2 linked regions of the Neurospora crassa OR74A genome follow. The protein of the gene in region 2 binds, or shares a complex with, the protein of the main gene of each other region. Links are inferred from orthologs where the notes say so. Each region holds a gene or a part of one and is shown on either strand. Other genes may lie near its edges.

Evidence for each region.
Region 1: NCU06432 (region 2) and NCU07956 share a complex: the UniProt entries of both Saccharomyces cerevisiae proteins name them as parts of the small ribosomal subunit. The link is inferred for Neurospora crassa OR74A from reciprocal best matches to the Saccharomyces cerevisiae genes RPS12 and PNO1.

The regions. Positions count from the first base shown.
Region 1 is NC_026504.1:1,222,477-1,232,303, reverse strand, and holds NCU07956 (pre-rRNA-processing protein PNO1), read left to right. Parts: upstream 1-3,739; 5' UTR 3,740-3,990; coding exon 3,991-4,286; intron 4,287-4,354; coding exon 4,355-4,662; intron 4,663-4,725; coding exon 4,726-4,895; 3' UTR 4,896-5,499; downstream 5,500-9,827. Other genes in the region: pod-1 (mitochondrion biogenesis protein), read right to left, coding at 891-3,311; NCU07957 (hypothetical protein), read right to left, coding at 5,996-7,648; NCU07958 (sporulation protein SPS19), read left to right, coding at 8,655-8,709, 8,771-8,964, 9,024-9,728. UniProt on the Saccharomyces cerevisiae protein: Required for small ribosomal subunit (SSU) synthesis. Has a role in the processing of early nucleolar and late cytoplasmic pre-RNA species. Recruits DIM1 to nucleolar pre-RNAs.
Region 2 is NC_026503.1:1,394,801-1,404,142, forward strand, and holds NCU06432 (40S ribosomal protein S12), read left to right. Parts: upstream 1-4,066; 5' UTR 4,067-4,289; coding exon 4,290-4,292; intron 4,293-4,519; coding exon 4,520-4,835; intron 4,836-4,896; coding exon 4,897-4,988; intron 4,989-5,047; coding exon 5,048-5,080; 3' UTR 5,081-5,456; downstream 5,457-9,342. Other genes in the region: NCU06430 (capsule-associated protein CAP1), read right to left, coding at 1-1,746; NCU06431 (40S ribosomal protein S22), read right to left, coding at 2,882-3,141, 3,414-3,546; NCU06433 (peptidyl-prolyl cis-trans isomerase pin-4), read right to left, coding at 5,457-5,611, 5,783-5,885, 6,000-6,134; NCU06434 (hypothetical protein), read left to right, coding at 7,430-8,191; NCU06435 (VPS9 domain-containing protein), read right to left, coding at 9,129-9,311. UniProt on the Saccharomyces cerevisiae protein: Component of the ribosome, a large ribonucleoprotein complex responsible for the synthesis of proteins in the cell.

The sequences.
Region 1 (9,827 bases), on a different chromosome or scaffold from region 2:
ACACCCGCGCAACGGTCACGGCACGTCCGCCGTCCGGACGTAAGGTTCAGTGGCATGATGTCTTGGATGGATGCATGAGGGATCAGAGTCGTCATCAGTGCCAGACTGGACGAAAAAAGGAGGATGGCCTCTTGGGGCACTGATCGAGTCGCGACTTGGGGGTGACGGGAAAAGGCAGCAGATACCATATAGCATGGGGGAAAGTAGATTTAGAGTGCATTCAATAATGAAGGCGAGCATCACGTTTCGAAAGTCCAGGCTGCATATCATCCTGGTGTGAGGTTCTCTTATCGATGCCATGGCTAAAATTACAACCAACACTATTTCAGTCACCATCTCAGAACCCTCTCAGAAACTTACACCAGTGAACAGGTGATATTTCCCGACCATGAACACCATGTGAACTTTTCAGACAATGTTGCTGTACCCTAATCAAAACACTTAAAACTCCGATCGCGATGTTGATCTGCCCTGAGCAACCATCATCACTGACAACAAAACCAGGGCACACAAAACACCTCGCCTCCCGCATTCATATGATTCCAGCCAGTAATTCGATCCGTCCGGGTCATTAAGAGCGTAAACCAGTTTCAAATCCCCTCCCTCCTGTTCATAACCATAACCTGCCTGCCTGCCTGCCTGCCTGTCTGTTCCTTCGAGCTCCTGTTTTTCAGAGCCATATAAGTATGTTTGATGTATGTATAGTACAGTGAAATACCGCTTGGAAAGGTATGGTAACCCCCTCACGGTAAAGTAAAGTAGAGAAGAGAGAGAGAAAAAAGGATAGTACAACACAACCCCATATCGTCACAAAACAAGACTTTTCCTCTACCCGCCTGATAAAATACAGGCAAAAGTCTATAATCGTCAGTGTCATATCCAATGACGGCTCACATCAAGTCTCCCGCCACGCCAGCCAGCAACGCATGTACCACGAGACTGACCGTCCACAGTCCCACGCGCTTGAATCTCCTCACCCTACTTTGCTGATCCTCTACGTTTCTGGCAAAAGCACGGTACACCTCGGCGCTCATATCGTCCATCAGCCCACAGTCCCAAACGGTCCAAGCTCCGTCAAAGTCCGTCAGCCGCTTTACGATCCGGCAACTGATGGGGATGTAGGTGCGCTTGGCGTTGATGTAGGCGACGATGGGCCGTACTAGGGCTTGGTTCACGTAGCTCATGTGTGGGTTGTTGAACAGAGGGACAGCGGCGCGGACGTCGTTGAGGTGGATGCGAAGGTCCATGACTAGATAGGAGGGAGTTTCTTCAATCGGGGCTGGCTCTTTGGGAGTCGCGGGAGGGATCAAGGGGGGGAAGTGCTGCTCCGAGGTGGGGAGCTCGTCGTGGTGGCCGGTGAGGTCGATGTCAGAGGCAGATTCCGGAATTGGCCCGCTTTCGAGGGTGGGGCTGTTGGTGTTGCTTCGGCTGTTGGGAGAAATGTTGCCGTCTAGAATCTTGAGGTAGCGGTTGCTGGTTACGGCTTCTTCCATTTTGTCGTAAAACTCGGCGACAACCTTGCTTAGACCCTCCTCAGGATCCGCAGGGAACATGATGTCGGCAATCATATCGACGTTGCCTTCGTAAATCCAGCCAAACGGTCCTTCTACACCGCGGTTCAAGTGGTCAATCTTCAGCCCATCAATCCGTAGTCGGGAGAACTTCTTCCAGGCCGAGGGAGAACCGAACTCGTCTTGGTGGTGACGGCCGTTATCTGCTGCGGACACACCGTGGATCTGTCTGGGATGAATGGTGAATAGTGATCCATCGAATGATCCGGACATGTGATTTGCTGACAAAAAGTCATAAAACAGCCATTGTTTTCGTAGCTGAGGCAGCTCGCAGGAGAAGATGGAAACGGAAAAGGGCCGGAAACCGCCCGGTTGGTGGACGGTGACCAGCAAGTCTTCCATCTTGAAGTGATCCAGTTCAAAGTCGCCAGGGTTATGTTCCTGTCTGAAGTCAAGGGGGTTGAGGTCCTCGTTGCCCCAGACAACCGAAGTCCTGTCAACAACGCCTCGAACACCCTTTATTTCGACGTCTTTGAGGAGACCCTTTCCGTTCCACCATTTGAGGAAAGATAAAGCCACGTTCACGGTGTCTATAGTGACGTCAAACTGTGTGTAATTGCCATCGTCCTCTTCCACGGCAGTGCCTTCTTGCTCGGCGGCTTGTTTAGCAGCAGCAGCTTCGGCCGCAGCTTCGGAAGAACCCTTCTTGACGGAAGACTTGGGCTGACCAGGTCTCCGAGAAACGAAAACATTGCGGAAAGTGATGACACCATCTCCCCATTTGGGCACAATAGCCGACTCGAAGACAACAGTAAGGCCAGCAGATTGGGTCAGGTAGTCTCCGATCCACTTGGCCAGCGTTTCCTGGGCAAACACCGTGTTGATAAAGAGGATGATGAGGGAGAAGAAGGTAGTTGTGCCAACAAGAATCCAGACCAAATGACCGAATAAGAAGAAGGACACAAACGCTCCCCATTCGTCGGCGTTCCAGGGGCGCATGCTCCTGATGGAGAACCACTTGAATCGGACCTTGAGACGCGACCAGAACCCGCTTGCTGCCGCCAGAAGCTCTTCTTTTGTGGGCCGATGAGGCAAATGGGGGAGGTGAGGAAGGTGAAGGTATTTAGACATGGAATCTGCTATTGATTCATGTGCGGGAGTCGGCTGGGAACCAGAACCGGAAGCCGTCTCGGTATTCGGTGGCTGCTGTGGTTGCTCGGACTTTTGCTGAGGAGAAATTGTAGAAGACTTGGCTTCGGCCTTGGTCTCGTCATGATCACCCTTGGTCTCTTTGCCCGAACTTTGGAATCGCTTTCCTGTCTTGCATAACGTTGTGGTCGTGGTGTTCTGTCGTATCCTTCGCAAGAGTAAAGCCTGCCGAGCCAAGTGGCCCATTTTTGCCTTTTGCGCGGCATTGCCGGATAGTGCGGATGCCTCTACCGTGCTCGTTGGAGAGGGGCTGGTGGTGAGCCCAAGGAGGAGTAGGCCTCCGGAGGTACAGCTTCGTAGGACATTATGGGATGGTTGTGACTGTTGATAGTGTAGTCTTTGCGATTTTGTTGCTGGGAAGAAAAAGCGACTTGCGGAAGAGGTAAATTGTCGCGTGCTCTGCTGCTGTCCGTATCGCTGATGGGACCCCAGCGATGTCGAGGGGCCAAGTCCAAGACTTTGACGACTCAGTAATGGCTGACAAGTTGGAAGCAGTATCGCGGCTGTGAAGAGATTCGAGGTGGTGTGAAGATCTCGTACTGAAGACCATAGCTGGCGGCCCAGCTGGGTCGTCGTAGCGCTAGTAGACATTGTTGAAATTCATACTGTCGACCGAGTAAGGGACCGACCTGTTCCTTTTTTTTTTCCTATGTTTTCAGCGACGATGGTGATGACGACAGCTCGGTGCCGTATCCATGGTCGGTCCTCGAGGCTGAAAATCAGATGTTGTTGCTTGGTGGTGGGCCGAGTCTAGAATGACATATGATGGTGCTCCTGCTCTGACCAAGAACCTGGAGTTTGAAAAAGCTGCCGGTCCAGGTCCCCGTCAAAAGTGCGTCAATGACGCTAACCTTGGGATTACAGGGATTCCTCGGTAACTGTTAGTGCATGGGCGTTGCGATTGGCAAGGGTCCTAGCCCCCATGCAGCCAATCGATAAGCTTCACTTGGGTACTCTTTTGTGGATCCACTGCTTTTTGTCAAGAATTTCCCCTCTGCGCTATCAAAATCGATAAACATCAAAATTCTAGAGACCGACGGCGCAAAAAGGCAGAACTTCGACTCCCAGATCTCCGCAATTCACGACTGTAACCCAGCATCCCGACACTTCTTTCGTCGCCCGTCACCAGTCTCTCCTCCACCCGATTTTCGAAAAATCTGCCATTACTCTTGGCCGGCGATTTCCCAAAATACTACCGACTTTAATCAACAAACAACCCGACTCGGCCCCTTGACCATCACCCACCGATAAACAACACATCTCGCCCAACATGCCTGCGCCAACAGCACTTCGTCAGCCTGTCAAGGCTCCCGCCGCCCAGATTCCTATCCAGACCGAGCAAGAGGACGAGCTCATTCTCGATGTCAACGAGGCCGTCAACCTCACCGATCCCAGCGCCGCCGCTCCCCCTTCCAATGACCAAGATGTGCAGATGGCTGTAGACGAGGAGGGCCGCCCCCGTTTCGCCCCCGGCCAGGACGTCCAGATCATTCGCCGCGCAGAGACCAGGAAAATTGGTATCCCGCCAAACCGCATGTCGGCCCTCAAGGCCAATTGGACCAAGATGTGAGACGGAAAACTACGGAAACATGTGTGAATGTTTGGGCAAGGAAGACTGACTGTTTTCCAATCAGCTACCCCCCACTTGTAGAGCACTGCAAGCTCCAGGTCCGCATGAACATCAAGGAGAAGCGCGTCGAGCTCCGCTCCAGCAGACACACCACCACCCCCGAATCCCTGCAGATGGGTGCCGATTTCGTCTCCGCCTTCGCCATGGGCTTCGACATTGACGACGCCATTGCCCTGCTCCGTCTCGATTCGCTCTATATCCAGTCCTTCGATGTCAAGGATGTCCGTCAGACCCTTGGCCCCGATGCTCTGGGACGTGCGATTGGTCGTATTGCAGGCAAGGACGGAAAGACCAAGTTTGCGATTGAGAATGGTACGTTCACCATTATGGGAGAATGGAAGAGATGACGCAGAAGTACTGACAAGATGTGAAAAGCCACAAAAACCAGAATCGTCCTCGCCGGCTCCCGCGTTCATATCCTCGGTGCCTTCGAGAACATTGGCATGGCCCGCGAGTCCGTCGTCTCCCTCATTCTCGGACACCAGCCCGGCAAGGTGTACAACAACCTCCGGATCATTGCCTCGAGGCAAAAGGAGAGATTCTAAGCTCTTTCTTTCACGAAAAACGGCAACAATGTGTTACACTTCTATTGCCGCTATTCTCACCTAATGAATGGTTCACGCACGGGGCTGCATGGTTCAGTCAACAAAAAATCGACGGTTTTCATCACATAAGGGGCGAAGGTGGCATTTCGGGAGCTACGCTTAAAAAGGGTTCTGGCGTTTAGGAGTTCATTATGCTTTTGCTTTGAGTTTGGAGAGTTTGAAATGGGCGATTCAGTCAGTCATGCTGGGGATATCTACGAAGGTGTGTAGAAGCGGGAGGAAGAGGACGGGATATTGGGGAGCTACCGCCTTGCGAATCTTTCAATGTGTGGTTATGATCTATACCCGGAGGACGAGAAGAGAAGACAATGAACAGAGATATTCACCAAAAGGCGGTTTAGTGCATATTGGCTGGCAAGGTCGATTATTGTGCAGAGAAAGTGATGTGGGAAACTGATCCAGTGCGCTCATTTGGTTGAGGTTCAATTCCATGGTGACGGCAAATCAAGCAAAATGTAAGGAGCTGATGTGATGGGCACCAATGTAGCCAGGTGAGCCACGATAGATTGGTTTCTTCAGGTCATACAAGTAGTAGTTATTTCCATCCATTCTCTTATCTCGCTTGTTCCGCATAAGTAAAGGTCTTGTTTGTTTTACAGTCCAGATGGCGAACCGTATATCGAAATAGCAGATAGAGCATAGTCAAACCCCTCGATATTCACCTACGATAGGTGGGATGAGACCATCTTAACCCGAGGAGGCTCTTTTTGTGCTCTGACTGACCAACTCCCATGACTCATCAAGCTTGTTGAAATAAAGTGAAGGCAAGACGTAGCAAAAAGTGATATACGTATGGGTATCTTCTGAAGAGCTAGGGTACCACCTCCGCACCATGAACCGTGTCCTGGAAGGACTTGCAACACTCCAAACTCCGTAATCATCTGTCACAACTTTAAGCAAAAACAATAATCCACTAGTCACCGCCGATTTCGTAGGCCTGACGAATAAGCCCGGTAAACTCCAACCCCATAACAGCTAAAGAAATGTGCGAATAACGTCTCCCAAAACCCAGTCTCCATGTTTATTCTCCAGGTCATACACTACTTGATGTAGACCTCAAACTGATTGGTCTCGTCCCTCTCAATGTCCATCGCCCCAACCAGCATGTTCTCGTTCAGCTCCTCGCCGTCAAACTGTATCACGACAGTCTGCTCCGGCTTGATATCTCTCTGCTTCCGGAAAACCTGCACCATGGTACTGACCGGCGTATCCTCATAAACCGCGATCTTGAGCGGTTGGAGGTCTTTGGCCTTGAGTACCACTTTGATCTTGGTCTTCTTGACCTCAGCAGCCTCACTGCCACCTCTGGACCATCCATTGGCACCAGACACACCAGTTCCGCTTTGCTGGTCTTCGTCATCGTCATCGTCAATCAGCCCCAACTCCCTCTCCCTCCGCCTCTTCTCCTTCGTAAGCTCTTCCTCATAAAACTCCTCGTGCCAAACCTCCAACACCAGTCCAATTTTTCCCCCCTGGATGACATACCCCTCCATGGCCTCTCGGCTCGTCATGGCACCAGGAGGCAGCTGCAACACGCCATTGGCGTCCACCTTGACTCCCAACGAAGCAATGGTGCTGTTGCCGTAAATTCGGTTCCCTTTAAACGTCAAGAACAGCTTGCCCACCATGTCCTCGGGGATTTCGCAACCGTGGAGCACCTGCTGTCGGATCCACGTGTCTAAAATCAGCTTGAGACCTTGCTTCATCCGTCGCCGCGCAGTAAGCGGCTTGGTGTGTGGCATTCGCGAAGTGACTAGCACGTCAATTGTCCAGTTGGCCTGGTCGGCTTCTAGCGCCGCGGCTTTGGTGACCCATTTCGCAAAATCATCGTCGTCGTCGGCCTTATCGGCGACGATAGTGGCTTCATGATCTGGGTCGGTTGCGGATGGTGCTGGTGGTGGAGAAGATGAGAAAGAAGCGGAGCGCTTCTTGGGGCGGACTTCGGAGACTTCGAGGTCCGAGTCGTTGTCGGAGTCGAGGGCAGCGGGTTGAAAAGGTTTCCTCTTGGAGGTGGAGGATGCGCCGGGGAGGTTGAAGGAGGTCTCAACACCTTCCAGCGGCGACCTGCCGCGCTGAGTGGCCCGGGTGCTGCGGCCGAGTGCGGTAGGTTTTGGAGAGAAGCGGTCGGGGTTGCGGCGCTTTGAATGTGGGGAGTACAGGTCGTCCTTCCCATGATCGTCTTCGTCGTCGCTAAAGGCGAAGCGTTTCTTGGATGGCGTCCCCGACTTTCTTGGTGTGGTTGAAAGAGGCTTTCGGGGAGTCGGTACCCGGGCTTTGTCGGGCCGTACGATCTCTTTCCCTTTACCCTTGACGTCCATGATCAGGTCGTCATCGTCGGAGTCAACGCGCGATGCAGACGTCCTACTCAGTGCTGATACGCTCGAAGAGCTGGCGCCGAGAGGTGCTTCATTGTCACCTTCGACATTGGACGACACCCTCCTTTTCTTGTTGACATGCCCTTCCTTTGGCGACTCGGAAGGCTTCACCTTTTCCTCTGATGATGCCCGCTGCAGGTCCTCCAGGACCATGGGGAAAACATCCTTTGATCGCCGAAAGAGGGCGAGAGGGTCATCTTGGTCAGAATTGTGCTCTGGCGCATGGCTTGGGGGTGGCTCGTTGGCTGGTGTGCGTGCAACGGTGCGCTTGAAGGGCAGCGCTCTCCTTTTCTTTGGTACGTCAGTTGCCGTGTCCATGGTGGGCAAGTGGTGATGTGCTACGTTTGAGAGATTGGTGTGTGCAAAGAAATGTGAGAGTGAGGTGGTGCGCAGTTATGAATCGCAAACCTAGTGTAATATGTAGATGCGGTTCGGGTGCGCAGAGAAAACGGGAAAGTGGGATGACCAACAGGGTGGTGGTGATGGATTGATTGTTGTTCAAGGGAGAAGCGAGAGATCGGTTGTTGCTTGTTTTCAAAGCTTGTTTATAGTCGCGTCGAAAATTCGGACGTGCAGGTCCGTACAATTGTCCATGTATAGACGAAGGGCGGCTGTTAGGTTGAAGATATCGTGAATCAAAGAAGACGAGGCTGGACAAAAAAAGAAGGCGTTGGTGCAACCCCGGCGCAAAATGCGATCCGCTAACGGCAGACCATCCGAACTTTCGCTGGGCGGCGCACAGTGTGGTCACTAAACAGACAGTGCTGCGGGGCGTGTGGGGGACTGCAAGGCTGGGCCAGTCCCGTCTGGAGAAACCTAGGGAAAAAAAAGGTGGGTCTTAGCCGAGGTAAACCGCGTACTGTGAAGGGAGGTACCGCCGGCAACTGAAGCTGCCCTGAACGAGTCCTGAGCGAGCGCCGACGCTTCAGTTGATCAGGAAGTGACAGCGCCGGTAGGTAACTGACACTGAGGAGCCGAGTGACCACCAGGGCACAACGAGTCCACCACCACCCGCGGACGGGGCAAAGATGGAGATCCCTTCTCGAACACCCGTCTGGCCCCATGCACTAGACTTAGTTCGCAACTCGCCAAAAGGAACAAATGAAACGGTGTACGTGGTGTTGAAGGTCCTCCTTGGAGTCTCATCTCGATAATCTGGTTGTCTTCTATACCCCATCTGTTTCTGTCTTCTACCTCTACCCATCTCGGTTGCTTGCCTATCTACCTCTCTACCTTACTTGACTACTTCCATCAGCAACATCAACAGCCATTATTTGTTAGTGATAATATTTTCCATCGGCGGTCAATATCACCCACCTCCAACATGAGTGTCCCAAAGTCAGAATATCTCAGCTCCGTATGGGCACCCGGCATCTTTGGTAAGTCTCGGAGGTACTATTTGTGCAGAGATCACAGTGTCGCTAACAATCATCACCACAGCCAACCGGGTTGTCTTCGTCACCGGTGGTGCCGGCACCATCTGCAGTGCGCAAACTCGCGCTATGGTCCATCTGGGAGCGGACGCATGCATCATTGGTCGCAACCCAGAGAAGACTGAGAAAGCTGCCAAAGACATCGCCAAGGTCCGCTCCGGAGCTCGTGTCATTGGCATTGGCAATGTCGATGTCAGGAATGTGAGTGTTGTTGCTTGGATGAATCACACTTGAAATAGTCTCGCTGACTGAGTTCACAGTTCGACAACCTCAAGGCGGCCGCTGAGCGGTGCGTCAAGGAGCTGGGAGCCATCGACTTTGTCATCGCTGGTGCCGCTGGAAACTTCATTGCTCCTATTTCCGGGTTGAGCCCTAACGCCTTCAAGACTGTGATCGACATCGACACCATTGGTACTTTCAACACCGTCAAGGCCACTATTCCTTACCTCATCGAGTCGGCTGCCAGGAACCCGAACCCCAACCCAAATGGCCTCACTGGCGGTCGCATCATCTCGGTTTCCGCTACCTTCCACTACTCAGGCATGCCCCTGCAGGCCCATGTGTCCGCTGCCAAGGCCGCCGTGGATTCCCTCATGGCCAGCGTCTCTCTTGAATACGGCCCCTACGGTGTCACTGCCAACGTGATTGCTCCCGGTGCCATTGAAGGTACCGAGGGTATGGAGCGCCTGGCCAGCAGCGCTGTCGACAAGAAGAAGATGACCAAGGCTGTTCCCAGCGGCAGATGGGGAAGCCGCCGTGATATCGCTGACGCCACTGTTTACCTATTCAGTGATGCCGGTAACTATGTCAATGGTACCACTCTCGTCGTTGATGGCGCTGGCTGGAGGCGACAGGGAGGAAACGACATTGGCATTGACGAAGGCATGGAGTATCCCGACTTCCTGTTTACTGGCCAGATCAGCAAAAACCTGAAAGACGGGAGAAAGCAAAAGTCCAAGCTTTAAGCATGGGAGTTCGAAAATGTCCTCAGTTTGTCACACTGGAGCGTTTGTGATACCATCGGGCCATGCCACGACAGCATGATTGCAAGGCGTTCGGGTCGG
Region 2 (9,342 bases):
CTCCCTCCCCTGAATCGCCACGCGCTCGGCCTCCTTCGTCCCCTGACTAACTGTCGCGCTCTCCTCGCTGAAGAACCGGACCGTCTCCAACCAGTCCTCTCCCTGCGTGCTCAGCGGGATGAAGTGCGCCCACGGCTTCAGCCACTCATAATGCCACTCCCTGAAAATGGCCCACTTGTACACCAGACTCCTGCTCTTGAGGAACGCATAAAACCGACCGGAAAACGCATTTCCGTCAATGTCCAGCACATGCTTGTACTTGAACGCATCCACCTGCTCGGCGTACGACTTGACCTCGAAGAATTCACGCTGCGCGTCGCAGTCGCCCGGGTCGCACTGGCCGATGTGCGAGAAGAACACGTTGATAATATCGCGGTAGTCGGACCGCGATACCTCGTTGACCACCCAATCCGGGTTCTGCTCGTTCTTGCCCTTGTTCACCAGCACTTTCGCGGTGTCGCGCTCGTTGATCTTCTGCACGAAGCGCTGACGATGCTGGCGCCGCCACCCCCCGTTGCGCGAGAAGCCGCCGGTGGTGGAACCGCGCCAGTACAGCTGGTTGGCCTTGTCGTCCCAGAGCGGGTCCTTGCCTTCTTCGTAGGGGACCTTTTCGTACCAGTACCAGGGGGAAGGGTACAAAATGTCGGCGTACGAGGAAATCTTGCTCTGCGAGAAGATGGGGAAGAGATCGTGCACGACGTTGTAAGCGTTGGGGCGGTCGAAGAAGCCGAAGGTGGTGGAGAGCGAGGGCGAGAGACAGACGTCCGACATGGCAGTCCAGTTGTATACGAAGCCGAGCTCGCCCAGGCCGAACTGGCCGACGTCGTCGAGCCGCTGGGGCTTGTCGGCGCCTTCTTCGTCGATGAGGCGAGCAGGACTGTCGGCCGGGCAGCTCATGCGCGAGTGCGTCCATGTGGGCTGGTGGGCGAATACGTTGAACCGGGTGAACTTTTCCTCGGAGAAGCTGCCGGTAGGACTGAGTCCGCCGTCGGGATCGCGGGTGAAGTCGTTTCGGTAGGCAGACCCCTTGTTCGCCGCGGGCATGTTGACGTTCTTCGCCCGCCCAACCAGCCGCGCCATGTCCTCAGCGGGAACGACGACGCGCGGCTCGTCGTGGATGTTGAAAGCCAGGTCCATATCCGGTAGCCACTGCTTAAACTTCTTCATCATGCCCTTGGTCGCCTCGACCTGCCACTCCTGTCCGCCACGGACGTAGACGATCTCGCCGTCACGGATCTGGAGGCCAATAAGGGCGTTTCCGTCGAATCCCAGGGCTTCCTTAGCGCGCATGCGGATGGTTCTTGGCGAGAGTCCCCAAAAGGGGGTGATGAGTTCGTGGATCATGTCGAATTCGTCGACGAGCTGGACATCATGTTCCTTGGCGAAAGCCCACCACTTGTCAAAGTTGGGGGGTGGGGGCAGTCCGTACCGCCTGCGGTACTCCTTAACGGCTTCCTTGAGGGTACGAGACTGACGGGTCTTGGTAGCTTCGAGATCGCGCTCGGCGTCGATGGTCAAATGCCATATTGGGTGGGAACCTTTCGGGGCTGGTTTGGGAGGTCGGATCGCGGCCGGTTTGGACTTGAAGTCAATGTTGTGGTGCGGGAGATGGTGGGCGCCATTCTGGTAAGAGTCTTTCAACCTCTGTTGCCCTTGGCTGAGGGTCGAGGAGGAGGTGAAGAGCGAGTAGATGCAGAAGAAGATAAAGACGGTTCCCACCAGGATCAAGAGCTGGCGGGACCGCATCGTGTCAGTATTAAGTAGGGTAGGTCGGTCGGTCGGTCGGTCGGTCGGTCGTTACGTGGCGTAGCTTGCTCTTCCCATCGGCTATGCTCGTCCAAATTCTTTACTGCCGATGTTGCTGGTGTAGAGATGGAGGTTCGAACTCCAAATTAGAATACCGAGGGGGAGACTTCTGAAGCTTCGTAGCGCCCTCTTTCAACAAGCGACAAGTCGGTCACAAAAAAATTGGAACTAAAGTGTTTATCGTTGTCTGTGACAGTGGTGTTGAGCTGCCCAATTGCCCGCGGTTGGCATTGCCGCGGACGAACAGTGATATGGCTTGGCTCTGTAGGGTAAACCCAAAGCTCAAGAAATTGGTTGGTTCGGAAAAAAAAAAGAAAAAGAAGAAAACAAGAAAAGAAAAAACCACGAGAAGCGGAAGAGTGGCCTGTCACAGCATCTGGAAAGTGTCCTCTTCCACACGGATTAAACTGCACCTGAAGAATGAAGATCCCCGAAGTGCCTGTGTGCCTGTTTCCTGTCCGTTTCCTAATTTTGGAGTACATAACCGAGGTGACCCAGGTACCCCAAGATGGACATCTAAACGAAGTGGCGTACTTGATGCGGGCGTCAGGGGCCAAGGAGGGGCGGGCGGTGGGTTAGCCTTAACTACGGGTACCTGACCAGACTCGGGCGGTGTCTAGAATCAGCAGGGATCTGCATCTCCAGGCCAGCGCAAGCTCCACGGCTTCAGGGGCAGTGTTACGCGTCGCCTTGATGCCCGGTGCTGGTTGAACATGAAGCAATTCCCATGTCAACGTGGTGCGGCTGCCAAACACACTGACGGCAATCCACTCTTCTCAGCTTCGTGGTTTCTCCTGTCCGAAACTTCATCCAGCTGCTTAACATACACTCAGTTTTACCACGTCGCTTTCATCTACACGTCAGGTTCATTTCATCACATCACTCGATTTTGACATCAGGTTGAACGGAGATTGGTGGAGGAACCAGCTCTTCAATTTTTGAGGTGGGTTATATGCTGCAACATTACTTGCAGAGACCAGACAGAGGTATCATCCTCCCATCGACTTCCCCAACACCCAAAGCGTGGCTTGCTAGAGATCCTCCTCATTCCCGACTTTAAGCGAGAAACATCCGCTTAGTAGAAGAAGCCGATGATCTTGCCGGAGACGTGCTTGCGACGGGCCTCCTCGTGGTCCATGATACCAGCAGAGGTGGTGAGGATGACGTAGCCGAACTGACGGGCGGGAAGGAGCTTGACAACCCACTTCTCGAGCTCAGCGAGGCGGACGTTGTAGCGGGGAGAGATGACACCGCACTTGTTCATGCGGCCGTTGAGCTGGACAACGATCTTGCCGGAGCGGTGGTCATCGACCTCCTCGAACTCGCCGATGTAGCCTGAAGGACAAAAATGTCAGTGAAATGTCGCGACAGTTTAAACATTAGATATCATTGGTGACTCCAGTAACGTGTAAGACTCTCGCATTTGATATATCGGCGACTTAAAAGACTAAGATCGTGGAGCGTAGTGAGACCTCGGCCTAGTTATACGCCGAATGGTGTGGTGAATATGGAAGTGACGGGGGGGATGTTCGATTGCGAGTCTGTCCACGGTTCCCTTCGTCGTTTGCCAATGATATCTGACAGTCGGGTTTGCGATTCGAACATACCGTGCTTCTGCATGACCTGGAGGAACTTGATGATGACCTTGGAAGAAGGGCGGATCAAGACCTGGCGCTTGCCGGCCTTCTCGGCGTTGTTGATGCTGTTGAGGGCATCGTGGAGAACGGAAGTGCGGACCATCTTGACGGTTTGTTTGAGGAGATTCTCAAATCGGGAATGGGATCAGAGGTATCTGCCAGATCCATGCATGTTAGCCTTCGAGGCCCCGTGAGCATGGAGAGTGCCCTCTGGAACAACGCAGTAAAGGTGTCCCAAGGGTTCTGCCCGCTCAGTTGCCGACGAGGAGAAGCGTATCAGTGGTCGTCGACTTTCACCATCGCGAGCTGATTGCTTTCCTGGGCCTTTGCGAAGGGCATTATCCTGTTGTCGAGGACATTCTCCGGCGTCGTAGTAGTTTCACATACCTCGGTGATGGGCTTGATGCTGAGAGGACGGACAAGCTAGCAGGTGAGAGGGGAAGAAGCCGTCAAGGTCGCGATGGTCTTTTGTTGGAAAATTTCGAGCGGGCGGGTGGATTCTGTGGTGGTGGTCTGTGCTTTGTCATGCAAAAAGTGCCCCGTGCGAATGCCCTAACGCCGAGTAGCTGGGCTACTCTTGGCGCTCGTCGGCCCGGCAGAGGTGCCCTTCAGGCGCATCACACAAAATTTCGGAATTTTGGAGCGACGGTTTCGCGCTGGCGGTCGGCGTGGTGTGGGGAGGTGGTCGGTGCGCGCACATAATTTCTGTCCAGAGCTTTTTGCTCTTCGCGGAAAGACGAGACTCGCAGGCCCCTCTCGCTTCCCCCGATCACCACCCATTGAAATACTTTCTCCATTAACTCTTCGAGGATCGTATCCGACAACAACCCCAAGCAAATCGCCAAGATGGTGAGACACCCGTCCCGTCCCCTACGTGCGAGCTGAAGTGTCGCCGTCGCGACCGTCGATTCGATATCCTAGAACCGATTACATCTCGAAAGAAGAAGCATGACGAACTAGGCATACTCGACATCGACGGCGCCGAACGCCCCGACATCTTCAGTGCGACACGACCCGATTACAATGAGGAAGCAAAAGAACACTCCCGCTAACATGGTCTTTTTGTGGAATTGTAGTCGGACGTAGAAGAGAACACTGTCCCCGCCTCCGAGGAGGTTGAGGTTTCCGCCGATGCTGCCCCCAAGGGCCAGATGAGCGTCCTTGATGCCCTCAAGGGTGTTCTCAAGATCTCCCTCATGCACGACGGTCTTGCCCGCGGTCTCCGTGAGGCCTCCAAGGCCCTCGACCGCCGTGAGGCTCACATGTGCGTCCTCAACGAGTCCTGCGAGGAGGAGGCCTACAAGAAGCTCGTCATTGCTCTTTGCTCCGAGCACAAGATCCCCCTCATCAAGGTTCCCGATGGCAAGCAGCTCGGCGAGTGGGCTGGTCTCTGTGAGTACACCTGTTAATCGAACAACATATCTTGGGGCGATCTCGCTGACTGTGCTACTAGGCGTCCTTGACCGTGAGGGTAACGCCCGCAAGGTCGTCAACTGCTCTTGCGTCGTTGTCAAGAACTGGGGTGAGATGTCCTCCGAGCGTGAGGTAAGAATTATACCCGAGTCTGCTGTTTAGCCACAGTGTACTGACAAACGACACTACAGATCCTCCTCAACTACTTCCAGACCGAGCAGTAAATTGGCGATTCGCATCTTGGCGAGGCGGAACACCTAGGGATGGACAGGCTGTAGACGCGTCCCAGACATTGGCTCTAACAAGCCCTGTGTCTGGTTGGACGTACGCTTGGGTAGACCTTACCGACTGGCACAAATGCTTAGAGCAGGCCTTAACTGGCTTCCCTGCAAGGGGCAATAAACAACGTAAAAGGTCCAAAAACTGCTGGCCAATTCTTGAAGTGACTCTGTATGAATCGCGTTGTCATGCGTGAAATCCTGCAATTTGTATGCCATTGTCAATGGCGTCACAAGCCCATGGGAAGAGCAAGGACTTGTTCTCCAAATGGGGAATGGAAAAGGGGACTAACACCCAAAGGTTGTAGTATGCATTCTTATATCATTTTTTACCCTCTACCATGATGATGTGGTAGCCAAATTGTGTCTTGACCTCACCAATCTTGGGGCTACTGGTGCTGCTGGTCTCCAAAGCAAACGCAACCTTTTCAAACTCGGGATCCAAGGTGCCCTTTTGCTTCCAACCCAAACTTCCGCCTATAATGTTCCGTGTAAGTGAGTGAGTGACATTGACTGCAAAAAAATGAAAACCCATAACGATCCGCCAGAACGGCCCAAAAAAAAGGACAATGGGATGAACAACTGTGAAACAGCCCGCTACAATGCCACTCAACAAGAAGCAGACAAAGGAATAAAGAGGTATCTCACCAGTCCTCGCCTTATCCTCACTATATTCCCTAGCAACCGCACCAAAATCAGCTCCATCGCGGATCTTGGCCAGCGCTTCTTCCTTCTTGCCATGTTTCTCACACTACAGTATACAGTCATCATCAGTAACCGCCCGCATGATACACCACTTCGACAAGAAGCGAAAGTAGACAGGAGCCAACTGAAGGGCGACCTAGATACTGGGAAAAGCACTTACCAGAATATGCCGAACGTTAATCGACTGAGCACCCTTGCTGGCCTTGCCGGCGTCCTTGCCCGCATCTTTGTTGCCTGCGTCCTTGCCGCCTTTGCTGCCGGAGCCGGAACCGGAGGCTTTCTTGTCCTTGCCCATTCTTAATTTTGGATATCGCGTCGGTGATGAGAAGCTGCGAAGAATAAAGAGCGGGTGAGGGACTGATGAGTTGAGAGAATAGGCGGCTTGATGTTTCAGGTGGTGATGATAAGTTTGCAGACTCCAGCTTCCGTGGTGAGATGATGAAAATGGAAGTGGGGTTGCGTTGTGAGGATGGAAGTAGCAGCTTGAAGCGACAAGCTGACCGTGTTTGGGTCGGGTGGTGGGAGGAATTGGAGAGGAGGAAGGCTCTACAGAACCCTAACCCTGGTTGGAAGGGGGTTGCCCCTTTTCAACGTCACTCCGGCTGTCACGAAGATGGACACTACGGAATTCGAGACGAAGGATCAGCTTGGTCATGGCTGCATTTTCTTTCATGAGTTAATCTTATTTGTGCTTTTTACTTGTTCTCTTGTTGTTTCTGAAATGATCCAGAGAAGAGGCAGGAACCTGGGACCTGGAACCTCGGCAGAGAGGGAGGAGGGGGAAGGAATAGACTGGAAGGAGTCACAGTCGCGAAGTTCGCACTCGGGAGGTCAAAGATCTTAAATAGATTGTCAACAGTCACGATTCCAGAGAGATGTGGAAAATAGTCTGCCGTAGCTCCCCCGTCTGTTCTCCTGGTTGCCATCAGCGACCCGAATGATAGGTGATCATGTGTCGCAACTGAACGTCGACAGCGATTTTATGCTCTTCCCAAGCTTACTGCAACCATATTTACGCAAGAACTTTCTTATTTGACTGCAGAAGTCATATTGTAGAGCTTGCTTATCGAGGACTAACAGGCGACGTCCGGAAGGCATGAAAAATACTACTCGGCAGGCGTAGTCGCTGAGATCCCGCTCCCGCCCATATACGCAGCATATGTTGTTTGAAAAAAGGAAGTGGTGATCTGAAAACCCAAGGGCGTATTTCTCCTTCCAGATGTGAAGTGACAGAATGAAGCCATGACGGTGAAGCGACTTCCACGTTTCTTTGCAGCGTGGAGTTCAATGATACACGCAACATCGTACCTGTTGTGCTTTCTCTTCTCGAGTTCGGGAATGGAGTACCCAACGAGCGTCCCGCATCTAGTATTTATTCTTCGCTGCCGCCATGTTCCGCATTCTCTTGTTTCTCTTCTTCGTCTTTCACAGCTTTCCATACTTACTTCATCCACTCCGTGCACCTCACAACTACTCTCACCTCACAACTTACTTTGCTTCATTGTTACTTCTCTCGGTCTTGTACTCCCTTGCTTGAGTAATCTTACACACATCTACCTCCTTTACCCAGACACCAACTTCCACGTCACAATGGGCTCAGACAGGCGCAAGCAATGGGCGAAGAAACGCGAGACGAGCGAGGCCAAGGTGCTGGCAGAGAGAGAAGCTAGCGCCGCAGCGCGCGAATCAGAACCTCCCATCCCAACGCCAGATCCATCCGCAGATGACGAAAGCACAACAACGACGGAAAACACAACAACATCCAAGGTGGACGAACTCATGCAAACGTACCACAACAGCAAGATGGGCGAGCAAAAAGACAATGCTCTCGCCTACATATTGTATGCTGCCGGGGACGAAATGTGTGCATACTCTTCCACGACCGACTGGAGACTACAACGTGTCATTCGAGCCGTCACCGCTGTACTCGAAGACGTCAATACATTCACCACTACCGAGGAGAACGAAAGCCACCATCTGCAGCGGCGGTTCCAGTCCAGATCCGAAGGAAGCGCGCTGCCTCCCCATGTCCATATCCACTCCGAGGTTGTCGGGGAAGCTTCGAATAGTCCAGTCCTCCGTTGTCTGAACCAATACCCAAAACTGGACAGCGAATCCTACGCGTGGCAACCGTGGTATCAGGGGCTCTACGGGGCGTATCATGAAGATTGTGCGGCGGGCCTTGATCCTACCAATCACACCCATGCTTTGGCGGCGTGGAATGCAATCTTGGACAAGCTGCCGCCACATGTGTTGGTGACGCTCATGAGCGAGAAACCCTTGGACCCGGAGCGGCCGGATCCGAGTTTACTGTTGACTGCTTTGGACGAGTATTCCGTTCCGGGAATGTAATTGAAGCTCAGGCGTCATGCTTGAGTTTTCATTTCGTCAGCTTCTGAGTGGTGATGCAGGGACAGGTTGGAACGGCATTGTTGATTTCACTGCGAGGAAGGTTGTTGGGCTTTTGGTTTGGAGAGGATTTTGTTTCTGGCTTTCTGGTTTGCCGAATTTGTGGTTGAGGTCGAGAGTATCTCTGAAACAGGCCATCTGGTATTGGGAGCATTAACGACGATGGTGGATTTGACATTCAACTTGAAGATACCCGTCGCCAAAATCAAACGGTGATTCAATGATCTAAGGAGTATGGATGAGAAACAGCAACAACCAGCGAAACAGCGATTATTGAGATTAGTCAATAGTTTCACAGCATCATAGAAACCATCTCCCAAGTAACAAGATTGCCCCGGGAGATTCAACGTGTCTTCCGATTAAACCAACTTCCTTTTACCTTATCTCGTTTGTGAGTTGTGGGGGACGAGACAAGTGAAGAAATGCGATCACTTGTAGTGAGCAGCAATGAAACCAAACGCGCAGTATAGGTTTTTTTTTTTTTTTTTTTTTTTTTTTTTTTTTTTTGGAGGTTTGGAAGTGCCCTGAAGATGAAAGTGTAAGATTCCTACCACAGCCGAGGATACAAGCAGATGTTTGATGAATGGGTCTTTTGCTTGTATTATACCAGACATGTCCCATCTTCAAAAATGCATGATGCTTTGACGACCACCAAACACAAGCCCCCTTTCCCTCCCCTCTCCTCCCATTATGTAATATGACTATTGTTGCCCCTTTCTACCTCCAAGCCACTAGAACAGAACTAACCGAGACAAACAAATGCACCGCGTCTGTTTAAATCCAATCCAATCCAAATATAACTCCCCTTCTCCACCTAGTATAGTACTCTTCCGCAATGCATCGCATCTGTGTGTATATATAATTATCCATGATCTACTACTCATTCCTTGAAAGCACCCACATCTTTCAACGCACCCGCTAGCCTTCTATAATCTCTCAGCAAATCCAACACTTCGCCTATCCGCAAATCGGCCGGGTTCTGCACCTCCATGAACCGCTTGATGGGCGGTTCGATCTTGGGGATTTCCTTTGGTGGGAGCGCGGGGGCTAGATCGGGGAAGGCCTGTGGATTTTGGGATATGTTAGTCTTAATC